Linked DNA regions of Lonchura striata. The protein of the gene in region 2 purifies or fractionates together with the protein of the main gene of each other region. This does not show direct contact. Links are inferred from orthologs where the notes say so. Each region holds a gene or a part of one and is shown on either strand. Other genes may lie near its edges.

Region 1 (7,848 bases), on a different chromosome or scaffold from region 2:
GGCTGTACTGGGTGCCCCCAAACTAATTAATAAACATGTTAATTAGCTAATTAAAATTGGAATTAATTAAAATATACAACCACCAAGTTGTATTGGGGGCCCCCACTTTGGTTAATTAAATATTAATTAAATTATATTCAATTAAATGTTATAAAATAGGCACCAGGCTGTACTGGGTGCCCCCAAACTGATTAATAAACATGTTAATTAGCTAGTTAAAATGGGAATTAATTAAAGTACATAAAATAAAAGAAAAAGAGAATAAAACAAAATAAAATAAAGAAAACAAAATAAACACAATACAACGTAATACAAGACAACAAAATAAATTAAATTAAATTTTTAAAAAATTAAATCAATAAATAAAATAAAATAGAAAATAAAATAAATTACGATAAGAATAAATAAAATAAAACCAATAAAATTAATTAAATCAATTAATTTAATTCCCACTCACGTCTCCGCCGAAGTCGGTCTCCGCGGGGGGGCCCCCATTGAAATACCTGGGGGGGCAAAGAGAATTTGGGGAGATTTTGGGAATTTTTGGGAATTTTGGGAATTTTTGGGGTCCTGAAGGGTTTTGGGGTGATTTGGGGAATTTTTGGGGAATTTTTGGGGAATTTTTGGGGGAATTTGGGGAATTTTTGGGGGAATTTTGGGGGAATTTTTGGGGAATTTTTTGGGGAATTTTTGGGGAATTTTTGGGGAATTTTTGGAGGAATTTTTGGGGGAATTTTGGAGGAATTTTTGGAAATTGTGGGAAATTTTGGGAATTTTTTGGAGGATTTGGGGAATTTTGGGGAATTTTGGGAATTTTTGGGGTCCTGAAGGGTTTTGGGGTGATTTTGGGAATTTTTGGGGAATTTTTGGGGAATTTTTGGGGAATTTTTGGGGGAATTTGGGGAATTTTTGGGGGATTTTTAGGGAATTTTTGGGGGAATTTTGGAGGAATTTTTTGGGGGGATTTTGGGAATTTTGGGGGGGTTTTGGGGAATTTTTGGGGGTCCTGGGGAAATTTAGGGGAGTTTTTGGATTTTTTGGGGAGATTTTGGGGATTTTTGGGGAAATTTTGGGAATTTTGGGGAATCCTGGGGTAATTTAGGGGAAATTTGAGAATTTTGGGGGGTCCTGGAGGGGTTTTGGGGGAATTTTGGAAATTTTTTGGGGGTTTTGGGGAAATTTGGGGGTTTTGGGAATTTTTGGGGGAATTTGGGGAAGGGTCCCAATTATTAACATGCTAATTAACACGCTAATTAACACGCTAATGAGCCTGACATAATGGAGACACAGGCAATGCTTGGGGCAGGATCCCATTAATTAAATTATAACTGGTTCCCTTTAATTAAATTATAACGGGTTCCTTTTAATTAATTTGAGACGAGGGCTCATTAATCTATTAGAGGAGGGGTCTCTCTAATAAATTATCTCATTAATTAGCTAATTAATCAGCTAATTAACATGCTAATTAGCCCTCACTCAATGGCACAGACAGGAAATTCTTGGGGCAGGATCCCCTTTAATTAATTTATAACGGGTTCCCTTTAATTAATTTGAGGTGGGGCCTCATTAATAATTTAGGGAGAGGTTCCTTTAATAAATTATCATATTAATGAGCTAATTAATCAGCTAATTAACATGTTAATTAGCTGTCACCCAATGGCACAGCCAGCCAATGCTTGGGGCAGGATCCCATGAATTAATTTATACTGGCTTCCCTTTAATTAAATTATAACGGGTTCCCTTTAATTAATTTGAGATGGGACCTCATTAACCATTTAGGGGAAGGGTCTCTCTAATTAATTACCTCATTAATCAGCTAATTAACATGCTAATGAGCTGTCACTCAATGGCACAGACAGGCAATGCTTGGGGCAGGATCCCATTCATTACTTTATAACGGGGTTCCCTTTAATTAAATTATAACGGGTTCCCTTTAATTAATTTGAGATGGGACCTCATTAATCTATTAGGGGAGGGGTCCCTCTAATTAGTTAGCTAATTAACACGCTAATTAGCTGTCACTCAATGGCACAGACAGCCAATGCTTGGGGCAGGATCCCATTAATTACTTTATACCGGGTTCCCTTTAATTCTTTTGGGGCAGGGCCTCAATTATCTATATGGGGAGGGGTCTCATTAACTAATTAGCTAATGAATATGTTAATGAGGCTGACTCGATGGCGGACAGCAGGTAGTGCTTGGGGCAGGATCCCCATTAATTTATGATGGGTTCCCATTAATTAATGACAGGTTCCCTTGAATTAATTTGAGGCGGGGCCTCATTAATCATTATGGGGAGGGGTCCCTCTAATTAATTAGCTAATTAAATCGCTAATTAACTCTCACTCAATGGCACAGACAGGCAATGCTTGGGGCAGGCTCCCATTAATTACTTTATAGCGGGGTTCCCTTTAATTCTTTTGGGGCGGGGCCTCAATTATCTATATGGGGAGGGTTCTCATTAATTAATTAGCTAATGAATATGTTAATGAGGCTGACTCGATGGCGGGCAGCAGGTAGTGCTTGGGGCAGGATCCCATTAATTACTTTACACCGGGTTCCCTTTAATTCTTTTGGGGCGGGGCCTCATTTATCTATTAGGGGGAGGGCCCCGCTAATTAACTAGCTAATGAATATGTTAATGAGGCTGACTCGATGGCGGGCAGCAGGTAGTGCTTGCGCAGAGCCTCGAAGTAGGGCCCGAGGTTGGCGGTGCCCTCGATGACGAAAACCACGTCGGCCACCAGGGCGGGGGGGGCGGGGCCTTCCAGCGCGGGCACGACCATGGCGGCCCGCGGGGGGGGCCGGCTCCTGCGGGGGGGAAACAACAACGCCGTGACTCCCCGGAACCGAGCCCGAAGCGGCGACTCGCCCGCAGCTCCCCCCTCAACCCCGCCCGGCATTCTCACGGGGTTGGCGGTGCCGCAATTTGGGTTTTTAATTAACTTCCCCCCTCCCGGTTCCCCCCCCCCCCACAACTCCCCGGGGTCGGTACCGGCGGCGGCGCGCGGAGAGGAGGAAGGGGTTTTCCTTCGCGTCCGCGCCGGGCGGCGGCGCATGCGCGGAAAGGAGGGACGCGGGCGTTGCGCCTGCCTCAGCCAATCAGCGTGGAGGAAAGGAGACACGCCCCTTCCGCATTGCTATAGTAACGACTCATCGACCAATGGAATTGAAGAGGATAATAAGGAAGCCACGCCCCTTCCGCATTGCTATAGTAACGACTCATCGGCCAATCGCGTTGCAGAATAAGCCACGCCTTTTCCGCCATTGCGACTCATGGACCAATCGCGTTGCAGGGGAAGCCACGCCCCTTCCCGCCGTTGCGACTCATGGACCAATCGCGTTGTAGGGGAAGCCACGCCCCTTCCGCCGTTGCGCGGCAACCGCGGCGCTCCCGGCGTGCCCCGCGCGGGAAATGGCGGCGAGTGGCGCCAACTGAGCGGGGAGCGCGCGCGGGCAGGGAGGGGGCGGGGCCAAGGAAGGGGCGGGGCTTGAGAGGAAAGGGGGCGTGGTTTGTGGGAAAAGGGGCGTGGTTTGGAAGGAAGGGGCGGGGTTTGGGAGAAAAGGGGCGGGGTTTAGAATCAGGAGGCGTGGCTTTAGAGCCAAGGGGCGTGGCTTGACTGATAAGGGGCGGGGTTTGAAGCGAAGGGGCGTGGCTTAAGAGCAAAGGGGCGTGGTTTGAAGCGAAGGGGTGTGGCTTAGGATCAAAGGGGCGTGGCTTAAGAGACAAGGGGCGGGGTTTATATCCAATGGGCGTGGCTTAAGAGCAAAGGGCGTGGCTTGAGATCAAAGGGGTGTGGTTTAAAAGCAAGGGGGCGTGGCTTAAGAGCAAAGGGGGCGGGGTTTACCCTAAAGGGGCGTGGCTTAAATGCAAAGAGGCGTGGCTTGATATCAAAGGGGCGGGACTTGATAGTAAAGGGGCGTGGCTTAATAGCAAAAGGGCGGGGCTTATAAGCAAAGGGGCGGGGTTACTAGCAAATGGGCGTGGCTTAAGAGCAAAAGGGGCGTGGTTTGAGAGTAAAGGGCGTGGCTTAAAGCAAAGGGTTGTGGCTTAAGAGCAAAGGGGTGGGGTTTAATATCAAAGGGCGAGGCTTAAGGACAAATGGGCGTGGCTGAAGTCGAGGGGCGGGTTTATTAGTAAAGGGGCGTGGCTTATGAGCAAGGGGCGGGGTTTGTAGGCAAGAGGCGGGGTTTAAGAGGGAGTGGCCATTACAAGGGGGCGTGGCTTAGCTCGAAAAGGGGCGTGTCCCGCACGAGTGGGCGTGGCCATGTCCGGCGAGGAGGGCGGGGCCTTCCTGGTGGGCGTGGCCACGGCCAGCGGCCTCCCCCTGTTCTGCCGCCCGCCCCGCCCCCAGGTGAGGCCACGCCCCCCCCTCCCCTCCCCTCCCCCTTTTTTCGGGAGGTGACCTTTGACCCCCGCAGGTGCCGTTCCCATTGGTCGGGGCCCTGCACGGGGCGTGGCTCTTCGGGGCGGCCGCGGGGGCGGAGCTGCGGGAGGCGGCCACGCCCACGGCCCGGCTGGGCTGGGCCGGACAGCCGGACAGGTCAGGGGGCACCCAGGGGTCACTGGGGGGGTCACGGGGTCAGCTGGGGGTCACGGGGTCACGGGGTCAGGGATGGGGTCATGGGGGGTCACGGGGTCACGGGGTCAGGGATTGGGTCATGGGGTCAGGGTGGGGAGCACGGGGGGGTCACGGGGTCATGGGGTCAGGGAGGGGTCACAGGAAGGTCACGGGGTCTTGGGAGGGGTCACAGGGTCATGGGTGGGTCACGGTCGGGTCATGGGGTCAGGGAGGGGTCACAGGGGGTCATGGGGTTAGGGAGGGGTCACAGGGTCACGGGGGGTCACAGGGTTATGGGAGGTGACACAGGGTCAGGGAGGGGTCACAGGGTCACACAGGGTCATGGGTGGGCTGCGGTCAGGTCACGGGGTCAGGGAGGGGTCATGGGGGGTCACGGGGTCACTCAAGGGTCATGGCGGGTCATGGGGTCAGGGAGGGGTCACAGGGGGTCATGGGGTCAGGGAGAGGTCACTCAGGGGTCACTCAGGGGTCGTCCCCCCCCAGCCTGACCCTGATTGGGCTCAGCTTTGGCCCCGCCCCCGCCCAGATCCTCGACTCCGCCTTCGGCGCCTTGGTGAGAGCCTGCCCAGTATAAACCAGTATAGACCAGTATAAACCAGTATAGACCAGTCCCTCCCGGTCCCTCCCAGTTTGTCCCAGTCCCTCCCAGTTTGTCCCAGTTCCCTCCCAGTCCCTCCCAGTCTGTCCCAGTCCATCCCAGTCCCCCCCAGTCCCTCCCAGTTTGTCACAGTTTGTCCCAGTTCCCTCCCAGTCTCTCCCAGTCCCTCCCAGTCCCTCCCAGTTTCTCCCAGTCCATCCCAGTTTGTCCCAGTCCATCCCAGTCCCTCCCAGTCCCTCCCAGTTTGTCCCAGTTTGTCCCAGTCCATCCCAGTTTCCAGGTGCTGCTGCTGGGCCGGGAGCAGCTGCTGCCGGTGCGGAACGAGGAGAGGCTGAAACGGGAGCTGAGGGTGAGACTGGGACAGACTGGGACAAACTGGGAGGGACTGGGATAAACTGGAATAAACTGGGATGGACTGGGATGGGGAACTGGGTGGGACTGGGAGCTACTGGGAGCACTGGAAATGGGGCTGGGACAGACTGGGGGGCACTGGGAGTTACTGGGAGGAACTGGGAGGGACCGGGATAAACTGGTTTGGACTGGGAGCAATGGAAAGGGTAACTGGGAGCACTGGGAGCACTGGGAGGGCCAACTGGGACTTACTGGGAGTTACTGGGAGTTACTGGGAGGGCTCTGAGGCATTTTTGGGGGTCCTGGGGTGACCCCGCCCCCAGTTTTAGCTCCTCCTCCATTTCTGTCCTGTCTCCCCTGATTGGCCCCGCCCCTTTCCTGGCCACGCCTTCTTTCCTGACCCCGCCCCTTTTCCGGCCCCGCCCCCAGGGCTGTTTCCCGCTCCTGGATTGGCTGCTGAGCCCCGGGGGGGGGATGGGCGCCCCCTGCTGGCCCCTCCCCCCCGGCCCCGACCGTGACACGCTGGAGGTGAGGGACCCCAAAAACCCACAAATCACCCCAAAAAAACCCAAAATCGACCCAAAAACCCCTTCAAATCATCCCAAAAAAAACCCCAAAATCACCCCAAAAAACCCCAAAATCACACCCAAAAATACCCCCAAAAATACCCCAAATCAGCCCAAAAATCACCCCAAAAAGAACCCCCCAAATCACCCCAAAATCATTCCAAAAAATACCCAAAAGCACCCCGAAATCACACCCAAAATCACCCCAAAATCACCCCAAAAAAACCCCCCAAATTATCCAAAAATCACCCAATTTGGGGATTGGCCCCAAGATTTTGCATGCCGCTCCCTGATTCGCGCGCCCTGATTTGCATACCGCTCCCTGTTTCGCGCGCCCCGCTCCCTGATTTGCATGCCGCTCCCTGATTGGCGCCCCGCGCCCTAATTTGCATACCGTTCCCTGATTCGCGTTTCCCTTCCTGATCTGCATGCCGCCCCCTGATTGGCGCAGCCCCTCCGATCTGCATGCCGCTCCCTGATTCGCTTGTCCCGCTCCCTTATTTGCATACCGCCCCCTTAGTTGCATGCCACTCCCTGATTGGCGCGCCGCGCGCCTTGATTTGCATGCCGCTCCCTGTTTCGCGCGCCCCGCGCCCTGATTTGCATGCCGCTCCCTGATTCGCGTGTCCGCCCCTGATCTGCATGCCGCCCCCTGATTGGTGCACCCCGCGGCTTGATTTCCGTGCCGCTCCTTGATTTGCATACCGCCCCTTATTTGCATGCCGCCCCCTGACTGGCGCGACGCGCGTCCTGATTTGCATGCCGCCCCCTGATTGGCGCGTCCCGCGCCCTGATTTGCATTCCGCCCCATGATTGGCGCGCCGCGTGCCCTGATCTGCATGCCACTCCCTGTTTCTCGCGCCCCGCGCCCTGATTTGCATGCCGCTCCCTGATTGGCGCGCCCTGCGCCCTGATTTGCATGCCACTCCCTGTTTCGCGCGCCCCGCCCCCTGAGCTGCATGCCGCCCCCTGATTGGCGCGCCCCGCGGCCTGATTTGCATGCCCCTCCCTGTTTCGCGCGCCCCGCCCCCTGAGCTGCATGCCACCCCCTGATTGGCGCGCCGCGCGCCCTTATTTGCATGCTCCTCCCTGTTTCGCGCGCCCTGCGCCCTGATTTGCATGCCGCCCCCTGATTTGCGCGCCCCGCGCCCTGATTTGCATGCCGCTCCCTGATTGGCGCGCCGCGCGCCCTGATTTGCATGCTCCTCCCTGTTTCGCGCGCCCTGCGCCCTGATTTGCATGCCGCTCCCTGATTGGCGCGCCGCGCGCCCTGATTTGCATGCTCCTCCCTGTTTCGCGCGCCCTGCGCCCTGATTTGCATGACGCCCCATGATTGGCGCGCCGCGTGCCCTGATCTGCATGCCGCCCCCTGATTGGCGCGCCGCGCGCCCTGATTTGCATGCCGCCCCCTAACTGGCGCGACGCGCGGCCTTATTTGCATTTCGCCCCCTGATTCGCGCGCCGCGCGCCCTGATTTGCATGCCCCGCCCCCTGACTGGCGCGCCGCGCGCCCGGATTTGCATTCCGCCCCCTGATTGGCGCGCCGCGCGCCTTGATTTGCATGCCGCTCCCTGTTTGGCGCGCCCCGCGCCCTGATTTGCATGCCGCCCCCTGATTGGCGCGACGCGCGCCCTGATTTGCATGCCGCCCCCTGATTGGCGCGCCGCGCGCCCTGATCTGCATGCCGCTCCCTGATTGGCGCGTTCCGCGCCCTGATTTGCATGCCACTCCGTGTTTCGCGCGCCCTGCG
Region 2 (7,539 bases):
TGCGTATATGTTGTGTGTAGTCACCTGGAAAAAAAGATCTCAGTCTCACCCGTGACCTGTTGCTGCTGTAATACAAAAAAAATCAATGCAACCAAACAGCTTGACAGCAGAAAACAGAAACTGTTCCCCAAAGTGTCAGAGAGTGTCCAAAGGCAGAGAAAATGGTACTTGGGAGCTTTCAAATGAGTCTCTGGGGATTTATACTTAATAAAAGAGAAGCAGTGGGTTTTTTTTGGGCTGGTTTGTGGTGTTTTTTTTAAGAGCATCAGAATTGGCTCTGCAGCCAGCTCTGTGCTTTTCAAGGCTCAGTGTTGTCTGAGGCAGCGTCTGCCCTTGAACCCTCATTAGTATCTGACTCAGCTTTGTTAGCACCAGCAAGAAGTTTTACTGATTCCAGGCAAAAGCAAATCCCCGCTTCCAGGATGCCTGTTAATAGGGAGAGCAGGATTCTAATGGTCTTTGAAAAACTGGGAGCCTGTTCAATAGCCAGACCTAAAAATAAATCTGCTTGGCATGACCAGGGCAGAGAGGTGCTCGATTATAACTTTGGGGAATCGTGACATGGCTGAGAGCAAAACTTTTAAGCAGATGGCCGCCGCTTGTTTCAAAAGCCTGTTGGAACAAAATATTCATTATTCCCTTCTAAATAAAACTGCAGCTGGTACTATAATGTCTCCCCATTATGCAGGCACTCAGGGCCAGGTTGGCAGTGGAAAAATACAGAAGCACACACACAACCATGGCACATCTGGGGAAGGATGGGGTGACACTGCCTTTCATCCACCACAGCTGCAGGCTGGCTTTGACAGGGGTGTCCTCCTCACATCCCATCCCCTTCCCCACTCAAAGAGAACTGACAGCTGCCTGTTGCTGGTTGACCCAAAGGGATAAATATTTCAGGGTTGGTGCATTTTTTTACTCCTGATGGGTAGTTTTCCTGCTACATCAAGCCACTGAAGTGATTCCCCGTTTGGGAGCATGGAGATGTGGGAGTGGGAAGGTATGGCAAGAGCCTGCAGCTGCAGGATTCAACACAGCATCCAACCACAGCTCCTAACCTGATAAATGATACACTGGGCACAAAACCTGCCTTAAGGCACAGTGCCCTTCACTACACCAGCACAACCCACCATTGGCAGAGCCACACAGTGGGACCTCAGCAGTGATGCTGTTGACTGTACAAGGCTGAAAACATCAGCAGACTCTGTTTAGGAAAACTTTCTCCAGACCCAAACAACAGGAAACAGCACCCATCCTTGAATGTCAGCAAATTTACGCGATACATCCTCGCTCCGGAGCACAGAGTCACCTTGGAGATGTGTCCTCACAGCTGAGTCAGTGTCAGAGCAGCAGGGCTGGGCTCTGCCACTCGAGGCTGTGTTAGAGGACAGCCCGTTTGCCATCTGTCAGGGACAGGAGGCACAACATCCCACCGCTGGCCACTGTGGTGCCACCTTTCTGCCACACTGTTCAGCCCCTACGTCGGCTCAAGCCACCCAGGAAAGGCCAAAAACAAAGCCAAGGGAGGTAGCTGGGCAGCAGGAGTGGGTGGCTTGGTGGGACAGGGCACAAGATATCCCTGGGACTGTCATCTGTGAGTCACTACAACCTGATCAGTGACACATCACAGTCTGGGAGGTCTCAGCCCATGGCTACTGCCCACTTTGGTGATGTACATGCACACACCTGGCAGGGGATTTAGCTTCACTCTGTGGTCTGCACAGATCAGAGAGAATCAAGGTTAGGGAGCAGCCTGATGGCCTACACCTAGCACAGTGAGGAGACTGAGTGAAATTACAGTGTTTGTGTTCTCATGCCCATTCTGGACTGGCGTGTCAAAGGGATTAATTCCCATGGATTGGGCTGCTTGGGCTGCAGAGCCATTAAGGATGAACCTCCCTCACCTTTCAGACATGTTTGCTCCAAGTGAAGCATCAGCAGGACACAAATCAGCTCCTCAGCTAGTGCACAGGGAGAGGGCAGGAAGAAATCAATTCATGCTTCCCATGCCCACTGCCTCACCCTGCCCAGGTGAGAGCACAGAGCCTGCCTGGATGGATTTCCATGGCAGAGACATCCCCTTTCTGGGAATTCAGATGAGCATCTCCGGAGGGGTTATCCTGACCCAGAAACACATCAGTTCTCAGGATTCTTGTACCAGCACCTTTCACCTGTACAGTGCTTATCTTGAGCTGGGAAGAGAACAGTGTATGTCCCACTGAGGAAGCCATCCCCCTTTTTACAACTTCCCAGAAATGGGCTGCATTCCTGACACACTGCCTGTGCTTCCTGAGGCTGTTATCAGCCAAAGAGCACAGTTCTCTGGAGCAATAACCCAGTGGGCACACAGTGCTCCTGCTCTGGGGTTAGCGGTGGGGCAGTGTACCTGAGCCATGGGAGCATCTGCACTGCTCAGGTGACCCTGACACCACCCTGGCACCACTCAGAGTGGAGATGCACTTGGGGCTGTGCCAGCTCTCTCCAACACTCTTCCCAGGAACTCCAGGTGAGAGAAAAAGGGCAAAGGAGATGCTGGGGAGGATGGAGAGCATCACTTGCAGGGTGACCGCTACCTCTTCAGGGCATCCTGGGGAAGTGAGGGCTGTGGGAGCATCACTTGAGGGAGGGTCCAATAACTCAGCTCCGTGTTCAAGGCATTATGAGGATGCTAAGGATGAAAAAACAACTTCGAGGGAACCCCACTGCCTTCTTCCCATCCAAAGCAACCTGTGGATGCCGGGAGCCGGGTGAGCATCACTAAAGGGGGCGGGCATCCCTTTGCACCCCCGAGGGTGCTGTGGCTGGGAGAACGCCACCGGCTGGGAGAACACCTTAGCCCTGCTCCTCACGCAGGCCCCGGGCGCTCTGCGGCGAGGCAGCGCCGAGCGGGGCGGGGCGGGGGGCGGCGGCCGTGCCCGCCGTTACCATTTGATGATGTCGTGGACGAGCGGCAGGAAGGAGAACTCCTCCTGCGCGGGCGGCAGCGGCGGCGGCTTCTGCTCGGCGGGCGGCTCCGGCGGCGGCGGCTCCTCGGCGGCGCGGCCCGCGGGCCCGGACGCCATGGCGGCCCGGCAGTGACGGAGCGGGGCGGGCCCGGCCCGGCTCCGCCTCACGGCCGCCGCGCCGCCCTCACGGAGCGCCGGGCCGGGCGGGGGCCGTGCCCCGCGGCCCGCTGTCATCCCCCCGAAACTTCCCGTGATGCCCGCCGGAACTGACAGTGATCCCCCCTAAACGCCTCCATGGTGATCCTGCCTGTGCACCCCGCCAGTGATCCCTCCTGCAATCTCCAGTGATCACAGAGACCCCCAGTGATCCCTCCTAAAACCTCCAGTCATCCCCCAGAGACCCCTGAAACCTCCGGTGATTCCAAAGACCCCCCGTGATCCCTCCTGAAAGCTCCAGTGATCCCTCCTAAAACATCCAATGATCCCTCGGAGACCCTCAGTGATCCCTCCTAAAACCTCCAGTCATCCCCCAGAGACCCCTGAAACCTCGGTGATTCCAAAGACCCCCAGTGATCCCTCTGAGACCCTCAGTGATCCCTCCTAAAACCTCCAGTGATCCCTCGGAAGCCCTCAGTGATCCCTCCTAAAACCTCCAGTGATCCCTCGAGACCCCCAGTGATCACCCTGAGACCTCCAGTGATCCCTGAGACCCTCGGTGATCCCTCCTAAAACTCCAGTGATCCCTCTGAGACCCTCAGTGATCCATCCTGAAACCTCCAGAGATCCCTCCTAAAACATCCAATGATCCCTCTGAGACCCTCAGTGATCCCTCCTAAAACCTCCAGTCATCCCCCAGAGACCCCTGAAACCTCGGTGATTCCAAAGACCCCCAGTGATCCCTCCTGAAACCTCCAGTGATCCCTCCTAAAACATCCAGTCATCCCCCAGAGACCCCTGAAACCTCGGTGATTCCAAAGACCCCCAGTGATCCCTCCTGAAACCTCCAGTGATCCCTCCTAAAACATCCAATGATCCCTCTGAGACCCTCAGTGATCCCTCCTAAAACCTCCAGTCATCCCCCAGAGACCCCTGAAACCTCGGTGATTCCAAAGACCCCCAGTGATCCCTCCTGAAAGCTCCAGTGATCCCTCCTAAAACATCCAATGATCCCTCGGAGACCCTCAGTGATCCCTCCTAAAACCTCCAGTTGTCCCCCAGAGACCCCTGAAACCTCCGGTGATTCCAAAGACCCCCAGTGATCCCTCCTGAAAGCTCCAGTGATCCCTCGGAGACCCTCAGTGATCCCTCCTAAAACATCCAGTGATCCCTCGGAGACCCTCAGTGATCCCTCCTAAAACCTCCAGTGATCCCTCGAGACCCCCAGTGATCACCCTGAGACTTCCAGTGATCCCTGAGACCCTCGGTAATCCCTCCTAAAACTCCAGTGATCCCTCTGAGACCCTCAGTGATCCATCCTGAAACCTCCAGAGATCCCTCCTAAAACATCCAATGATCCCTCTGAGACCCTCAGTGATCCCTGAGTCCTCCAGTGATCCCCTTGAGACCCTCCGTGATCCCTCCTAAAGCATCCAATGATCCCCCAGAGAACCCCAGTGATCCCCCTGAGACCTCCAGTGATCCCTCTGAGACCCTCAGTGATCCCCCTGAAACTTCCAATGATCCCTCCCAGTGATACCTTCTATGTGCCTCCCCAGTGATCCCACCTGTGCCCCAGTGATCCCCCTGAGATCCTTCAGTGTTCCCCCCAGAAACCTCCAGTGATCATCCTGAGACTCCACCAGTGATCATCTCTGTGCCCCCATTGCTTCTCCCTACACCCCCCTGCACCCCTCAGTGATCCCCCTGCGATCCCCAGGGATCCTCCCCTGACACCCCCACAATGATCCCACCTCCCTCCCGAGCCCCACACAGGAGGTGGGGGGTTGGAGGAAGCAGAGATTGTGGAATCCCGCACCCCAAGGGCAGGGTGAAGAGAAGGGGTGCCAAGAACCATCCAGGTGACCCAGGAGCCATTCAGGGACTACTGGAACCATCCAGAGGTCCCAGAAAACATCCCAGTAACCATCCAGGGATCCCAGGAATCACCCGGTGGTCCCAGGAGCTATCCGTGGCCTCGCTGTGGCTCCCAGCCCCTCAGCACACTTGGTGTCCTAAGTCTATATAGATCCCTCTCTTGCAAGCCAAATCTGAGGGGGAAATTGCATTATTCTGTGTAAATAACTACAAGTGGGGTTTTGCTGTCTCTTATATCCCAGCTTTCCAATGTATTTTTTTGTTGTTTGGGGTCCTCAGTTTGACTTTAATGCAAATGGGGGTTGGATGGGTTGGAGGATGGGGATGTGATCCTTGAAATGCCTTAAGGACAGATGTTTATGTGGGACCAGACTTTCTGCTCAAGGGAGGAAGCATGGCCAGCATCAGTTGCAGGAAAAGCAAGCTGGAGTGTTGGATGAGAGCCTGGGCTGGAGACTGGAGGAATCTGGAGGAAGAACAGAATTGTGATGTCAGGGCTGGGACTGCTGTGGAGCTGGGAGAGGGAGAAGAAGAGGAGAAGGCTGAGAGAGCTGGGGGTGCTCAGTCTGGAGGACTCTGGGGAGACCTCAGAGCCCCTTCCACTGCCTAAAGGGGCTCCAAGAGAGCTGGAGAGGGACTTTGGACAAGGGCTGGAGTGACAGGACAAGGGGGAATGGCTTCCCACTGCCAGAGGGCAGGGTTACCTGGGATATTGGGAAAGAATTCTTCCCTCTGAGAGTGAGGCCCTGGCACAGGTTGTCCAGAGAATCTGTGGCTGCCCCATCTCTGGAAGTGTCCAAAGCTAGGCTGGTTAAAGTCTGAAGCAAACCTGGTCTAGCAGAAGGTATCCCATAGCAGGGGATTGGAAGCAGGTGATCTTTAAAGTCCTTCCCAACCCAAATCATTCTGGGATTCTGTGAAGAAAGGGAGCTCTGGTGTGACTGACCTGCAGGGGGAAGAGGTGGCTCGGGATGGTGAGTGGTCAAGGCTGGGAGAGGGAGGGTGATGCCCCTCTGCAGCAAGCAGCCTCAGTTTGCTTCAGTTAAGTGCTGCCCTTGTGTTCAAACCCCTATACCCACACAAAGCATCACAGCATGGATAATACCAGCCACAGCTGAGAGCTTTTTTCCTGGTTTGGCTTAGACAAAAAGCATTATTTAATTTTTCATATGAAATAGGCCTCCCTGCTCAATGGTTACAGGCTGAGGACTAGGAAGGTAGTTTTCTTTTTTAAACCAATTTCTTTCTGAAAACAAACAGAGGCTATTTATACATCTAATGAGAATGCTGGCAACCATTTAAATGCGGGGGTATTGGCTGTTTGCTCTAAATATAGCAGATGCAATCACTCACTTTGTTCCTACTGTCAGGAATAGATCCTGGTTCAGTAACTGATGCTGGAATGTGTAAAGGAGCCTGGGGGAGCCCAGGTTCCGCTGAGCAGATCCCTGTGGGAAGGCTGGTGGTATTTATGGCCCTTGACTGAGCCAAGCAGGAGGCACAGGATGCTGTGTCCTTCAGATGGGGCTGAATGGTTCATTTCTGCCTCTTTTTAAGGGCTGTTTCTAAAGCAGGAGTTGATTCAGGCTCCATGGGGGACACTCCCCTCAGTACTGTGCTGGTTTTAATTCTCCCCTTGGCTTTCTGGAGGAGGGCAGCAATAATTGCTGGGTTGCTGGATGCCTGCCTCTGATATTTGAGTCAGGCAGTTGTTCCAGCAGGTGACAACATGCAGATACCATTCAGTACCTAAAGTGCTGTCAATCAGCATTTCTTTTTGCCTTTCCATTTCTATTTGGAGTGTCATGTTCCCAAAGAGCTGGAACACAGCTTGGTCTAGGTGATGTGTCCCTGCCTCTTGCCTTCTCTTCCTTGTGGAAACAGCTCCTCCAGCTTCCCCAGGTGACCCATCTCTGTCCTTTGGGGCTTGTCGTGTCTTGTGGCAAGTCCAGGGGACAGCAAAGGTATTTCACAGTCTGGTTAAAGTTTGAAAGGCTCCTCCACCACTGGAGATGCTGGTGAATTGGTCAGATGAGAGTGTGGTGTCAGCCTGCACGAAGGCATAGTAGAGCTGTGGTCTGTAGCATGACAGTGTGTTCATACCCCTAATGAGGGCAGCAGGGAGAGCTGAGAGCAGCTGACAGGCCTGGCAGGGAAGAGAAGGCTTTTGATTTTATGCATTGTGGGTGTGCACAATGTTCACCTCAGGTGAGGAACAGTGCTGGTGTGCCCAAATCTTCATCCGTCCTTATGGAGCTCCAAGCAGTGAGACCTTTGTTCCAAGGGGGTGACTTTGGTGACCTTTTTATGTCCTTATAATGGAGTTCTTCCCAAATCCTTTGACAGTTTTGTTGAGGTCTCCATCTCGGATGGGAGGGCCGTGTCAGCCCATCCACTGTTCTCAGGAGGAGCTGGTGGTACGCTGCAGTTTTCCCTAATTTTCATTCTGGATTTTTTCCCCCGCTAATCAGTTCCTCAACAGAAGGGTTTGAATGAGCAGCCTGTGAAAACTCCATGTGAGGCAGCTAAAGCATGAACAAAGACACTTAGTGATGAATGA

The links. Proteins that work in one complex are often made in the same cells at the same time.
Region 1: the proteins of MED9 (region 2) and MED25 purify together in Homo sapiens (co-immunoprecipitation; 3 studies listed by BioGRID and IntAct, with this or other methods). This does not show direct contact. The link is inferred for Lonchura striata from reciprocal best matches to the Homo sapiens genes MED9 and MED25.

Annotation. Positions count from the first base shown.
Region 1 is NC_134640.1:2,261,041-2,268,888, forward strand, and holds the start of MED25 (mediator of RNA polymerase II transcription subunit 25), read right to left. Parts: upstream 3,053-7,848; 5' UTR 2,996-3,052; intron 2,812-2,995; 5' UTR 2,787-2,811; coding exon 2,653-2,786; intron 504-2,652; coding exon 458-503; intron 1-457. UniProt on the Homo sapiens protein: Component of the Mediator complex, a coactivator involved in the regulated transcription of nearly all RNA polymerase II-dependent genes.
Region 2 is NC_134618.1:15,400,191-15,407,729, reverse strand, and holds the start of MED9 (mediator of RNA polymerase II transcription subunit 9), read right to left. Parts: upstream 3,063-7,539; coding exon 2,926-3,062; intron 1-2,925.